Lytechinus pictus: one gene and its partner. The protein of the gene in region 1 interacts with the protein of each later gene in a pairwise test. Links are inferred from orthologs where the notes say so. Each region holds a gene or a part of one and is shown in the gene's direction. Other genes may lie near its edges.

Region 1 (7,841 bases):
GTTGATCCTATTTTATTTTTGTGCTGTCACACAATCTAATTTGTTCCATGCATATATAGGTTTCATTCTCCCTGGATCACTAATATAGCTCCCCCAAATCATGACAATTTTAGAAAGACATCAGAATGATTGCATGTTGTTCTGAGGAACTCCATGAATATGATATTCAGTTTTCACTAATCACTATTTAGTATGAAATAGGGAGGAACTATGGACCTCGATTTTGCCTCTGTACATATTATACAGGGGGCATGGCCGTACGCAGCGGTTGGGTGGGCAGCAGCTGCCCCCAAAAATGTTGAAGACCTACATTTTTTTTACTGAAAATTTTCATAAATTTCACCAATAATGTTTTATTTATTTATTTATATTGTTTTATTTATTTTATACTGCAGGGTAGGCCTGTTCAGTTCTTAAAACTGCTTTACAAAGGCGCCCTGCAGTTTAAAATACATGTCAAGATAACTATGAACAACAACAACAACAACAAACAACATCAAAAATACAAAATACAAAATATCTAACATCAGAAACAATTAACACCAAAATATAGAGTGGGAAGTGACAATTTAAACATACATAGCATTGTAAATCAATGGAATATCATTTCGCTCTTTATCAATTCGTATGAAAGGCTTTGCATAATTTTTTAAAAACTAACAAGGAGGTACAAACTTGTAAATTTGAAGGAAGTGCATTAAATAATTTGGGTCCGACATATGCGAAAGATTTTCTTTTATGTTCAATTCTAGCTTTGGGAAGCTGAAGGGGGCATCGTAAAGAATGTTCACAAAATCCTTCAAATTCACTTTCAAAAATGCAAAAGCACCCCAACGAAACACTGGCATTCTGAATAAACTAAAATATTTTTTTCCTGATCACATTTTAAAAACATTATATTCCACACTTGTTTTATCCCATATGAATTATGGAATATTGGCCTGGGGTAATTGCAATACAACCTTAATTGATAAAATATTCACGATACAAAAACGAGCAATTAGGCTGGTTAATTAAGTTGGTTTTTAATCCCATAAAAATCCATTATTTTTCCAAAATAAAGTACTCAAAATTTCTGATATATATGCATTTCGATTTGATATATTCATGTTTCAGCTTTCAAAAGATGAATTGCCTGATATATTTGCTTCTATATAATATATATGTTTCAAAGGAACAATCTAATCCACACATATCCCACCCGGCTAAGTGACTCATATCACCTTCCGCGTACTCGCACTCTCTTTGCTCAACGAACAATTGCATTTGAAGGGCCCATGCAGGTTTTGGAACGATCTTCCCCATGATATGGTACATAGTGCCTCACTTAATATATTCAAACGTAAATTGAAAGCGATGCTTATCAATTCTTATAATTTCCCTGTGTAAACTGTTATATACAAGTACTTTGTTAATACGCTCTGGCTGAGTAATGAGTAATAAGTAGTCATAGAGTGGCAGACTCTTTTTTATTTATTTTTATTTATTTATTTTTTTGTATTCCTTACATATCCACAATTGTCACATTTTGACATTACTTTATTATTATCAATTTACTTACCTGTCCTCTCCTACTCATTAAGACTGATATTTTTTCTGGATCCTGCAGACTTAACAAGCTTTGCTTTTTTATGCAGGGTCCCTCATATTTCACTCTTTTAAATTGTCTTTAATTCTAAATCGCTATTTTCTTTAAATTGAATTAATTGTTATGCCTTGTCTGATTTGTATTCTCATGAGTTTTCTGATATTGTTTTCATATTGTTGTTTGTACTTGTGAAATGTGTAAAATAAAGTCAAATCAATCAATCAATCAAATCAACGAGAAGCTCGGGAGCTTCGCCCCCTCGTTTTTGAGGTTTTTCGAAACTTTTTTTAAAAATCCCATATACGGCCTTGACATGAGGGGGAGGGTGCAGGGCGCACTTGCCCCTCAATCCTTCCAAATGTTACATGACCGAGAAAAGAAAAAGAAAGAATATTTTTAAAGAAATTAGAAAATGATTTTCTGTATACTTTGAAGTCAAAATATGTTACAATTCAATTGGATTTTTATTTTATAAAGTTAAATTCGTTTTCTCTTGTAACTTTTTTAATTTATTTTTTTATTTGTTTTAAAGGAATTCCCGGACCAATAGGCCTATTCTGATCGTCCCCCTATAAATTGTGTAATCATTACGTGATTTGCTACTATATGCCTCTAAAGGCCACCGCACACTGACCATACGACTGGTCCACGATCCGATGGAACAAATCGCATTTTGCTTATTTTCTGAAAATTTTGGTGAAAAGTATCATTTTTTTGAGGTTCAAAATAGCTGAAATAATACTAATATAACAGTTTGGGATGATTGCAAGCCTTTATTTTGGAGTAAAGGTCAAATTAGTTTCAAATCGTAGCTAATCGTAGGACGGACGACTAGACTTCGCTTTTTTATTTTAAACATGGCAGCATAGTCATAGATTTGAAGGTATGTATTCGTAAGATGATTTAGAACAATTTACACAGTACGATATTCCATGTCTCAACATTAGCATCAAATTCTACTACGTTCTATTTAAAAGTCGGGTCGCAGACAAATCGTAAGGTGTACGTCATCATGCTTATGTCAGATCAGAGAAGAACTATAGCCGGGGAGCGATTCTTGCAATATCAGAGAGGCAAGAAAGTTGGAACCAAAGCGACCGAGATGAATTTTATGCATAGATCTATAGTCAGTTCGTGCATTAACTTCACCTTCGAATTAGGTGGTTAAAATCTTACAAATATATTTTTTTTAACTTTTTACTGTTTTTTTCCTTTGTCTATCTCCATTACGATTTACAGGCCTACGCCCTGTCAAATTACCACGCCTACATACAGGCGCGTAGCCAGGGGGGGGGCGGTGGGGGCGGTCGCCCCCCCAAAAAACGTCCCCAAAAAGAAAAAAAAGAAGGGAAAAAAGAGAGGAAAAAAGGAAAAGGGAAGAGAGGAAAGGGAAGAAAGGTAGCTTTGTCGGTTTTTTTTTCTTTTTATTCTTTTTTTTCTCAAAAGAGAAACTCCTTCACTCTTCCTGTAAATTTATATATGAATTTTGCTTCCGCGCTGCGCGCGGTTAAATGACAATATTGAAGTTCTCCATTGTTTCCCCCACCCTTTCTCTAACCCTGCTTTTCCACCTCAGCTATATGTGTTTCTTGCCAGTTAAAGTTCAAATGTATAGATTAGGGCATGGAATTAGAGTAAGGTTAGGCCGAAGTATATGAAGTTATCTTTTTTTTTTATTGATCGCGCAACTTCTGGTCGGGTCGGCTCCGGGCGGGTAAAATCTTTATATCAATTTCTGCCGTCACCTCCATAAAGTCAACTTCTCCCGCTTTTCAGGTCAACAACCATAGGTAAACAACCATAATTTGGGGGAAACAGGTTCCTAATTTAAAAAGAGGAATGTATAAAATTCGTGTCGTATTAAATAAAAAAGTACAATATTTTTTTTCAAATTCTATTAATCTTCATGTTATTTCCCTGCACATTCATCTCCTGTCCTATTTGTTCGCCCTCAGTTTGAAATTTTGAATGACACTTAGGTTTCTTTATAATTCAAAATGAAGCGCTTCAGGATAAGTCAAAGAAATTAGGCATCCTTTTTTATATAATTTTAATAAATCACAGAAGTTTCAACTTTTTGCGTACTATTTTCCTTGTAATGAAGTTCAATAATCTTAGGTTATCAATTGAATTAGAGCCGATGGGGTATTAGACATATCTGCATTTGATGAAACGTCCGCCCTTTAAAATTTCAGAGTTTTATTGCTCTGCGCGGGGAGGAATATCTTCCTCCCGGCATATACACTTCTTCTCCTCTGTTTTGCGAGTTAAAGATATGCACTGTCGCTAAATTGTTTGTAATCAAATCCGATATTTCCAAGGGAAGTATTCAATATGTCTTTGAGAATACCCTTTTCTCGGGACCCTTTTCATGGCAAAAAAAATTGAAAAAACGCTTTAGCTTCCGCGCTTCGCGCGGGGTTATTATGATTTTAATTTCCTCCATTGTATACCTTTTTGTGCGTTCACAATCACTTTTGAAAACAAGGTTCAAAATCACAATAAAGTCAACTGAATTGGAGCTGATATAGGTACTAGAGACAAGAGAGACGGCTCCTTTTCATTTTAATTTATGACACACCAAAAGCTTCACGCTTCGCGCGGGAGGGGGAAACTCCCCCTCCCTGCACCCACCCCCCAGGGAGCGCGCTTCGCGCGCTCTGTAAGTGTTGGCACGCTTCGCGTGCATTTACCGCCCCCTCCAAAATGAAATCCTGGCTACGCGGTTGCCTACATAACATCTCTTCCATAAGGTTGTAATCACTGGAACCATCGCCATCAAAATGTAGTTTTAACGTTAGAACAGGGGCCCGTCATTTCAACCCTTTTCGATCATGGGGTTTTATATAGTGCCCCCCCCCCCTAAAGCTCCACCCGGGGCCAGGCACTTGCCCCCTAACGTTAGATATGCCACTGCTGATTCTGGCAGTTATTGAACTAGTTAAAATACACATGTATACTACATTATGTACATATGGAATATAATTATACTACATCATGATTTTTTACGGTTGCAGACCATGTGCGCATGAGCAGAGGCCCTGACAACGACGACGCCGTTGATAAACGAAACCAATAATATCGAATGCGTAATTCTACGGACGCGTCAAATGTACGCGCGCCGTCTCATTAGTTGCGTAGTAAATACGAGCAGCACACGCGGACGTCTTGGTTGAATTTACCTTTTTAATTATCACCCTTTTCCAGCTTTTGTAAGTATCAAGTTGCAAGTTTCTAATAATGAAATAATATTTTAAAGCTAAAACTGTGATATTGTATCGTGAAGAATGTTTCAAACGAAAATCCTAGCTTTTAAACGGTGTTTAAGTCAATCGCCCGTCGACACTCTAACCCGCGAATAGCAGAATTGCATGGTTATCCACGCCTGTAGTGTCGGCGGAAAAGTGACCTAGCCTCTTGCTCATGCTCGCTCATAATTGCGAGCAATGCCGCAGTGCAATTGTTGTAATTGACGTTGAACGGTCAATCAGCTTGTTCGCGCACATTCATCTCAATAAGCGTATTACTATTATGACGTGTCAATTGTTTCATCATTAATTAGGAAATATAAACAACATAAAAAAAGTAACAGAAACAATATCACAACAACAACAAAAAGAAGAAAGTGCACAGAATTGGCACTGGCTTGACTTTTATTTTTATCTTGTTAATGTTATGTTATTAAATGTTACTAGGCCTAATACACTAGTCTAGTTAGTTTAGTAACATTATTTGGATTTTGGAATGGGATGGGCGTTTTGATCAAACTTGAACTTTTAACTTATTGAAATAACATAACGGTACCGGTACGGTACGGTACCGTAGTTTCGAAAATCAAAATTTTGAAAGTCAACCAGCCAGCAGCAGGTTTCCAGGATAAAGATGAAAATGAAAGGTCGTCGCAGTGAAGGGAAGGGTGGATCAAAATCAAATCAGGGTTCTAATGAAGGGGCAGAGGATTCAGATGAATTCCAAGTTGAAGAAGATTATTCTGTTGCTCAAACTCCAATCTACATGGATGAGACATCGATCCTGAGAATGGTATGGGTGGGAATTATTCAACTCCATGCAAGAAACAGAAGAAAAGTTTGCTCACTTAAAAGTATCCTATTTTTTAAATTTAAGCTGTCTTGGACAGTGTTAAATTTTTTTGTGAAAAATGCAATTAATACAGTTTTAAAGCATTGTTTAAACAATTTTATCAATTTGATGTATCATTTCCATCTGTTTCATTAATATTATTTTACATTGGCCTAAATAGAAAAATGCCCTAAAGTCTAGACCTTTAATGAAGTTGTTGTATGACAAGTGAAGTTCAAATATACACTGTACTGTAGGCCTACTGAAATCTAGGCCTAATTACATTTTGTTTGAAATACTGTAGCATACTCGTATCAATGTCTTATATTTTATGTTTTACCTCATTTCTTAAGATTAAGAGAGATTAAAATTTTTAAGATAAAGAATGATCTACTTTTAATACCAGTAATAACACAAGATCCCCTATATTATGGTGTATAAAAGAATATTCATTTTTGTTGCTAATTTCAATGAAGTATTGTATTCTATTTGCATTTTGTACATACATTTTGATTTACATTTTTGGTCGTGTTGTGAAACTAGATATAACTCTTCCATGCAGCTTTGAGAAATATATTGATGATTATATTTCTGTGAGAATGTACTTTAGCACTGATTTTAAATTGTTTTAAGGGTGTTTACAACAAGTACACACATGGGAAACACCTAAAATCTTTTCAGAATTTCACTGTTGTCCTCTTATTTCCTTCCTTAGGGAGAACTTGAATCAAGTGAAACATCAATGATGAATAAGCGAAGCAGTAAGGTGCGTGTCTATGTACGCACTAGGCCAACTGACAAGTTTGCCCAGGATATGATTGAGCTCGTTCCTGATGGCAAGGTAGGTTTTCCTCAAAAGTTTAGATTCATTAATCATTTATTGAAGTCTTTGCTTAATTGAATCTGAGTCTGGTGAAAATTCTAAGAATGATGATTTTACAAACGCAGTGGGAATATATTTTTGTGATAATGATGATTGGTGACTTATAGTCATAATTTTAGAGTGTTGGGTCATCCTTACAAAAAGCATTAATTTATGACATTGTTCATCAAGTGTTTCTTTTGGTTACCTCTTATGCTAGTAGTTTATTTTGAACAAGAATGCATCACAAAAAATCTGATTAAAAACATGCAATTAACAAGGGAGCAGTACATTACCACAATTTTCATGTACATAATGTTCATATATGTTGCTATTTTTCTGTTTTACAGTTTTGTTTTACTTCCATCTAATGATCTAACAATATTTTCATGCTAGATCATATTAAATACAATTTGTACAACTTTGTAGTTGCATGTAAAGATATAATTTCATGATGAAAAACAAAGGGTATGAATCATCATTCTTTATTGTCACAGAGCGTCAACATCCATGCCAAGAAAGATGTGAAAAGAGGCGTGGTGAACAATCAGATGTTAGATTGGTCCTTTAAGATGGATGGTATTCTTCATAATGCTAGTCAAGATAAGGTTTATGAAGAAGTTGCTTCACCTCTAGTCACACAGCTTCTTGATGGTTATAATGGTGAGTTTTTTAATATATTTTTTTATATAGATTATAGAACTTGATTTGCTGAATTTGCAATTTAAGTGTATTTTTATGAGAAAATTCAATTTTCCTTTAACCCCCCCCCCCCCTCATCCATGTGTGTGAGTTGTTATTTGTTATTGCTGTATTTTTGTATATTAGGAAATAATTTTGCTTACCAATTTGATGAGCTTTTTGGTCATAAAAGAAAAGCTCTTCACAACATACTGTGCAGTCCTATATGAAATCTGCTATCCAAAGGTATTTTTTGTGGAGCATTAAAAAAAAATGTGGAGGAAATTGTGATGCTATACCAGGAAAAACATTCCATGTAGAAGTAATTTTTTTCTTTTTACATCAATTGTTTAACATTTATGTAGCCTGCATGAATGGCTTTCAATGATTTCTAAATTGCTTTCCACTTATCTGAAGGCAGGTCAATTTGTGATATTTGTAAGTCAGTCTCCATTTGTTTATTATAAGGATTTTTATTTCCATTTATTATCCAGATGCATAATTTGAATTCAGTTTGAGAAAAGTTGATTTATGGATGATCATTAAAAGTTCCTATATTGTCTTATATTTGTTTTCATCTCATATTGTCTTTCACCCTGTATGTATGGTTAAATAAATAATGATAATTGT
Region 2 (8,187 bases), on another chromosome or scaffold:
AGGAAAGAAAAAAAAACAATGAGGGACATAAAGAAGGAAAGAATGAAGAAAATAAATGAATACAGAAAGGAAAGCTAGGAAGTTAAAAGAAATACAAGATAGATGAAATGGAAAAGGGAATTCAGGAAGGATACAAGGATGAAGAAAGAAAGAGAAAAAGAAAAATCAGGAAGGAAGGAAAGAAAGAATTAACAATGATGGAAGGAATTAGGAATTAACAATGAAGGAAAGAAGAATAAGGGAAAAGAAAGAGAAGGAAGGAAAGAATCTAGCAAAGAGAGAATGAAAGCAAAAGAATGGAAAAGGGAAAGAAGGTATGACAGAAAGATTGAAAAGAAAAAGAGCCTGAGGAAGGGAGCAAAGAAAATTTCAAGGAAAGAAAGAAGGAAGGAAATAAAGCAAAAAGAAGGAAAGCTAGAAAAGGAAGGAAAGAAAGAAAAATGAACAGAGAGAGAATGGATCAGGAAAGAAAGCTAGGAAAGACAGGAAATAAAGATAGATGGAACAAAAAAGGCAAGCAGGAAGGATAGAAGAAAGGAAAGAAAAAAAGTTCAAACTTCAAGCAAACAAAATAAAATCCAGTCATCTAACAAAATTTACCCGATATTTTTATTTTAGAAAACTGTTAGAAATTGTTAGAAAACTATTATGTTTCAGGAATGAATAAATTTCAAAGTGAAACATTGTCAAACTTCTTCTCGGGTCACTACACAAGACCTGTCCAGTGGAGGGTTCAAGATCTGGCTTTGGGGTTCAAGAACTCAATCTTCGGCAGTGCATGGCTCTGGTAGGAGGGGGCAGACCAGAAGGTGTTGCATTGTCTGATCCTCCCCACACTCACAAACAGTGTCCCCATCTATGTTATAGCCCCATTTCTACATAAGGACTTTGCACCGTCCTGTTCCAGGCGTAGGCGATTCCTCACTCGAACCTGGGGGGAGTGACTCGCAAGCTCCATAGGTTAAGCTTGTGCGTCACAGACTGGAGGTGGTTGACCCTTTGATTGTGAGCAGAGCCATCAAGGAGTTCAGTTGAGTGAAAGAAACTAAGTCTTGATTTGAGTCTCCCCCTGGCGGGTCCATGGTTGCAGAGTGGATGAAGAAGACCATCTTCTTGTTTAGTTTTTGTCTCACCTGCATAGCAGAGTGAGACTATAGGCGCCGCTTTTCCGACGGCGGCGGCGTCGACACCAAATCTTAACCGAAGTATGTGTTGAATTGGCATCATAACTTAGAAAGTTGGACATAAGGGTAATCAAGTATTACTGAACATACTGCCGGAGTTTCAGGTCTCATGACCAAGGTCAAAGGTCATTTAGGGTGAATGAACTTAGACCATGTTGGGGGAATCAATATCGAAATCTTAACCAAAGTTAAGTTTTTGAAATGTTGTCATAACTTCAAAAGTATATGGACCTAGTTCTTGAAACTTAGACAAAAGGGTAATAGTGTATCCCTGAATATCCCTGTGTGCGTTTCTGGAACATGGCCAAGATCAAAGGTCATTTACAGGTTAATGGCCTCTGGCAGTGTTCGGAGTATGTGTTGAATTGGCGTCATAACTAAGAAAGTTTATGGATCTAGCTCATGAAACATTGACATAAGGGTAATCAAGTATGAATGATTGCATGCTTTGCACATGTCTTAGGTCACATGATCACGGTCAAAGGTCATTTTGAGGGAATGGACATAATATTTTATTATCATATCAGTGTTTTCTTCTGTGAATAATTTATTCATTAGCTGTTTTCAAAGGCAGCACAGCTGCTATATCGAATAGCGTAATGCAGGCTAGACTGCCAGAGGTGTTCCACTTGTTTTTTCTTTACATGGCACTTGTCTGATGCTGCTCTTTAACATTAGTAACAGGGCTCGAAATTGGTGGCGGTCCGGGGGCAATTGACCGCCTAAAGCTCCGTCGGGCACCCTAAAAGTCGGGTAATAGTGCCAGGGCTGACCACCAGAAAAAATAAATGTAGAAAACCGAAAATGAGTAGGTCTAAAACGAATGAAACCTCTCTCATGCAGAGCGTTTAAACTTGGAATATTTTGTTGATTAAGTGCTTACAAAAATGATAACAATTGCATTAAAATACTTGATACAGGTTTGAAAATGATACAGAGGCAATTTGTCAAAAAAATGAACAATGACTGCATTGTATTCACTGTTAAACACCAACTTCAACGAGCTCCAAATAAATTTTAACCCATCCGGCCTTCCCCTCGATACACAGTGTACATGTTCGTATTAAAATAGAACACACACAGAACAGCTAATTGCTGATCTGTGATTGGCCAGCGCTCTACTGATGGGAGTTGCTTTCAAGCGCGCGTGTGACCATTATCAGAAAAGGTCATGACTTCAGAGAAAAAATCAACCCCTCCCAACCTGTGTGGGTGTGTGGGCCGGAGAGAGAGAGAGGGGGAGGGGGGGGGGGGAGAAAGATAGGGGGTTGGAATAATTGAATGCGGGGGGGGGGAACCCTTTCATGTTTCAAAACAAAGCAAAGCAATCTGTATAACCCCTCTCCTCATACACAGGCACACCAATTTTCCCCAGAGGCCTAAAAATAACATTCCAACAGAACCCTTGCCTATTCATTCCATGTCTCGACTAGTCTCCAAATATAGACCCAGTTATAGGTTCAAATCATCAAAAAATTAATTTGGAACTTAGGAATTTTTATTTTTTAATTGAATAATATTTTGCAATTACTTTTTTTTTAATACAGTGTGTAGCATCGTGGGCAGTGCAACAAGCTTGGGTATGGCACTTAGGCAAGGGATGAATTTTTTTCCCAAAAAAAGGGTCTCTGTCACAAGAATACAGCGTGAATGTATTGTTTACTGTGAATTGGAGACAAAAAAGACGTAATTGGACTTTGGACTGAGCTGTGAACAATGATCTGGACTGATTCATTCATATGCGGGGGGTGTATAAAAGCATTGATTCAGGAAATTTTTTTAATTGAAACAATAAACTGAAAGTTATTTCATGTAATTTCTTTTGACATAGTCAAAGAAATCAAAGGGGGAATAAATAGTCATACTTTCATTTGTGAGAAACAGACCCTTAATGTTCAATGCAGTGAGGTCCAGTTGTATAAGTGTGGCATTGAGAGTTGTAGGTTTTCTGCATTTTGGGTCACTAATATAGGTCAACTTTTGCGATTTTAGAAGACGTGATTCCCGACGAACAATCGAATCATTCCATTGTTTTTTCAGGAAATAATCGAATGGTAAAAATGACATTCGTCCCAGGTCTAAACGACATGATCACTTGTTTATGTTTTGCCTCATCCAAGCCACTTGTGGTTTTGTTCCCACTCTTTCTGTAATGTATACTTCTGGGGCCCATTTCATAAAAAGTTGCTATAAATTCTTTCGCAGCCAGAGGCTGAATTGTGGAATCTTTTACAAATCAAAAATATAATCATTACATAAACATCATAAATAATTACATACCCGGTAATGCAAAATTTAAATACTAATATGATATCCAAAAACAAACTATGAGTACAGGATATCATGCATTAAAAGAAAACAAATTAAGCACAGAGACTCAGAGTTTACCTTAGAGAGAGTGACATAGAGAAAGGGACAAGGACAGAGAGAGACAGTTACACAGAGAGAGAGAGAGAGAGAGAAACATGGACAGAGAGAAAGAGAAACATGGACAGAGGGGGGGGGGGGGGGGAGGAGCGAGGAAAGGGGGGCTGAAAGTGAAGCCTTTATATCAAGTTAGTACATTTAAAAAAAGGAAAAAATAGTTTACACATGTGACAGACCAAATCATGACAACAAGTCTTGGTTTGATTCACTTTATGGAGTGAGTGCACTTCAACATTTCCGCAGCAACGACTGTTAACTTGGTGTGATGTTTTGACAATAAATTTATCATAACCATGATCAAATGTGAATTGAATGATGTTCTTTCCAATTTCAGTTTGGTGAAGTTGTATTCATTTTATTATGCATGGTTTCCCTCAGTGTTGGTGAGGGTGTTGTGCTTTTATTTCAGGAAATGTCATTGACCCTTGTTCATTTTAAAACGTACCTCTAACTTTAAGTCTAAAAATGAACATGAATGTCTCAAGTAAAACAAAGGTGTGAAAAGGATCATGAGTAATTTTTGTTATCTCCTTTGAAACAAAGGCTTGAGTTTGTCCTTTTTAATCCACAGAAAGGTTCCACCAGTAATTTAGTGTTTGGCAGCAAACTTACACTTATAGAGTTGATACTTTACAATTTGTCATGATACAATATTTTCAATATGCATGTGATGACCACCTAAACTGCCATTTCACCACCTAAAGTTCAGTCCAGGGTGCCCGGCTGACTTCCAAAAATTAAAGTTAATCGAGAGGCCTGATTAGTTTTGTTAATTTCTCTTTGCAAGTTGTACACTTCGATTTTCAATGAGTCTGGTATCTGTAATAGTCTAAACAGCTGAAATCCTAACCATATCCTGTGTGACTACTTTCAAAACAAGGTCATAAGAAACCTACTCTCAGCACTTCTTATGCTTGAAGGTCAGTTCTAGAGGTGCTTTTGTAGCAATTCAGAAATTAATTAAGCTAAATTTTATCAATTCTTTTCATAAAACCAGAAAGCTGTCTTTGTGTGTGATCATGATTTGTACACAATTGGTGCTTGAATGCTGAAGACCCGCGCTAAAACACTTCAATTCAGCAATTGCATTTTACCAGAGATGTTCTGTCATAAAAATCAGGCACTGATAAGCACAATGGTATCCCTGACAATGAGTTGGTTTTAATGAAAGCAGCCTTTTTAGCAGTGTTTTTCTACTTTTATTTCAACCAACATTATGTCAGGGTGAACTTCTCCTTTATTATGTCAGCCTTCATCTGAAATACGGCTCCTACAGTATTGGTAGCAGATTCAAAACGAGATGTCAATGACCATCTTGCTACACTCGGCAACCTCTGAGTTAGCATATCCAACAACAAATGACATGGAGTCTGAATCTTTGTATGGTCCCTTTCTTTTTACCTTTCTTTTAGCTGCTTGCAATGCTAGTTGCTCGACAATGAAACCTTGCAAAGTTGACATTGTCTGTCATCATGAAACACTAATCTACAGTAGATCTATGATGAGTCCATTATATTCCACACTGTGTGGTTAATCTCCTTATCTGTTATTACTCTCTTAAAATTCATTTCAACAGAATGTGCATCAGAAGCTCTGAAGAAACAGAAGGAAAGGCTGAAGAGATAGACACATCTTATTTCAAGTAAGTCATTTCCTTTTAAAACAAAAAAAACCATGACCCTGTTGAATAAGTCAGTGTCGTGTTGAATGATATTGTCTTCAAATGTGTTAAAACAATTTTCATTTTCATTTTTATTTGAGCAGTATTACTATTGAACTGTTTATTGAAAGTAGCATTATCACTTGGTAAGTTCTATGAAACAATGTCAATATGGCTTGAACTTGCATGCATGTAAATGCATTACTTGTAAGTGACTGATTGCATATAATTATAATTCTATATTCTGAAAATAATACTTTTAAGGTGGATTTATTACAAATTAAAAAACATTATTTTCTATGAAGAGAGATCTTGATGGTTTATGAGTCTTGAGTTTTCCATCAATCTACCAGCTGAAATTTACCTGGCTGAATCACATATGAAAGATTTAGAAAAGAAATGGACCCTTATGAATTCTTGTCAGGCACTCACATATTAGAATTCAGAAGGTTTATAATAACATGCTATGTAGAGCCTTCTGGAAGGTAATCAACTAATAGCTGAACTACCGGTAGCTATCTTGGGTTATATTTTTTTACAGGTCATATGAACACATAGGGATTCATGAAGAAATGATCAGAGATGTTGTTAGAACAAATTCATACAGGTAATATATATATATATTTTTCTTTTCTCTTGTTTTCCTGATAATGAGACTTAAACAGGATGCTTGATACAAAGAATGTAAGTTTCTCAAATATACCAGGCTGTTTTTTAACCATGTAAGAAGTACCTGCTTGATATAACTTTGAAAATGTTGGGTTTGATGTTTGTTTTTTACTTTTTTTGACTAGTTAGAAAAATATTCCTGTGATAAGAACTGAAATGGTAACATATCTGTAATATCATAACTCACATATACATGTATATATCGTGAATTGGTTAGTTGTTTTTTTCAATAAACCCTTTAAGAGTGTATCCTATTCCATTTTAGCATGTATTCATATGCTGCTCTGGTCTAATTTATAACAAATAATTCCTCCTTGGAGTAGTAGTAGTCCCAATTCCAAACCGATATGACGCTTTTAAGATGTCATCCATACCTTTTCATTTTGTTGTCCATTTCCTATACTCGATGTTATTGTTGTACCTCTAATATTAGGTTAGCCATTTTGCGGGCCAGTGATGCACTCATTGGGAAGGTGGTTGCTGATGTTGGAGCAGGTACAGGTAGGTCATATGATCAAACGTTGATCCAGTCGGATTAGACAAAATAGTTTTAAGAGGCCAACTATTGTGCAAAAACATTATGGCCCCTAAAGTTGAATTGTATTCAATTCAGGTTTATTGCGAAAAAAAATTATTGCAGTCACAGACTGAATTGTACATGTTTACACAATGCCAATATATGAAAATAATCAAAATTATTTAGAAGATGAGCAATGAATATACAAATTAAAATTACATATGTGCAGTTACAAATGGAGTTAAAATGGATAAAAATAAAGTTATAGATAATACAATATTGCACACTCATTACACAAATTGCAAACTTATTTACCATGGTACTTATTTAAGAATCTTGTCAGACTTGGAGGAGCACTGTTCTGAAATCTTTTTGTTTTACATGGAATCTCATTATATTTATTCATATGTCGTAAATTGAAAGCGTCTGTTTTCAGTGGATGTAACCAGTTTCTGTACAATTGATTAATTTCTAACTTTAAAGTTTAAGTTTTAACTCTTCGACTTTCAAGTGATGTCAATTTTAAGGTATTTAGAGCCATGTCATATGATAGATACTTGGTTCCCAATATTATCTTGCATGCTCTTTTCTGGACAGTTTCAATAACTCTTATCTGTTTCAAAGTAAGAGAAGCAGTGAATAAAGGTATACAACACTCCAGGACTGGTCTTACATACCCTATATACACTGTTAACAAATCACATTCAGGTAGATTGTAAGCTTTCAATCTTCTTAGCATGTATAACTTTTTATTGCTCTTTTTCATTATTTCGGTTACATGAGCATTCCACTTTAAATCATTCTTAATTGTAATTCCTAGGATTTTCACCGTGGTTACACATTGTAATGGCATGTTATTTATATAGATCACTTGCGGTTGAAGAGGTTGTTTTGAAAATGAAATTGACATTGTAGAACATTTTGATGCATTGAGTTCCATATCATTTCGAGAAGTCCATGATTCGAGTAATTCAATTTCAGTTTGTATTTGTGAAGTTTGATTATTCATTCTACACTCTACCATGGTTAATTCATCTACATATTTAAAGTATGACAAAGTACTATCACTACAGGCACCCTTTATCATTATCAAAGATAAAATGGGACCAAGTTTGGTGCCCTGAGGTACACCCGTAACACTGCATTTTGATTTCGATAACTGGCCTCTATACTGCACAGTTTGTTGGCGATTACTTAAGAAATCTACTACTAATTATATAACCAGTGTGCTACATAAGCACTTGCCCAAATTGGGCAAGCAAAATTCTCACAGTAGAATGACCAAAATTAGGGCCGATGATATGATATTGACCCTAATTTTGGTCATGGCAGGCAAGATAAAATCACTTTGGAAAAAGAAATGCAATAACAAGGTAGATCAGTTCATTTCAAAAGAGAAAAAAGGTCAAGGGTTTATAAGGTAAAACTATTTTTTCAAGGATTTTATCGGGCAAGTGAAATAGATTTTGGGCAGGTATATTTCAACTTTCAACGTTCAATTTTTTTTGCTTGTCAAATTTTTCTTTGGGAAAATGTGCCCCACCCGACTGGAAAATCCTGGATCCGCCCTAGATCATGGTGTTCAAAAGGAAGCAGAAAGAATGTCATGTCTGTATTGAAAGATTGAGCTTATTTTAATTCGAACATGACCTTGTAAGCCAGATTGTTTCACAGATTTTTTCTTTGCACACTTTTTTTTGTCATATTATTTTTATTCATTTTTGATACAG

Evidence for each region.
Region 2: the proteins of kinesin-like protein KIF9 (region 1) and protein arginine N-methyltransferase 6-like interact in a two-hybrid assay, tested with the Homo sapiens proteins (2 studies listed by BioGRID and IntAct). The link is inferred for Lytechinus pictus from reciprocal best matches to the Homo sapiens genes KIF9 and PRMT6.

Annotation. Positions count from the first base shown.
Region 1 is NC_087245.1:27,249,352-27,257,192, forward strand, and holds the start of kinesin-like protein KIF9, read left to right. Parts: upstream 1-4,665; 5' UTR 4,666-4,800; intron 4,801-6,383; 5' UTR 6,384-6,410; coding exon 6,411-6,509; intron 6,510-7,027; coding exon 7,028-7,193; intron 7,194-7,841. UniProt on the Homo sapiens protein: Essential for normal male fertility and for progressive motility of spermatozoa.
Region 2 is NC_087247.1:70,356,003-70,364,189, reverse strand, and holds the start of protein arginine N-methyltransferase 6-like, read left to right. Parts: upstream 1-4,954; 5' UTR 4,955-5,188; coding exon 5,189-5,253; intron 5,254-5,812; coding exon 5,813-5,878; intron 5,879-6,373; coding exon 6,374-6,441; intron 6,442-8,187. UniProt on the Homo sapiens protein: Arginine methyltransferase that can catalyze the formation of both omega-N monomethylarginine (MMA) and asymmetrical dimethylarginine (aDMA), with a strong preference for the formation of aDMA.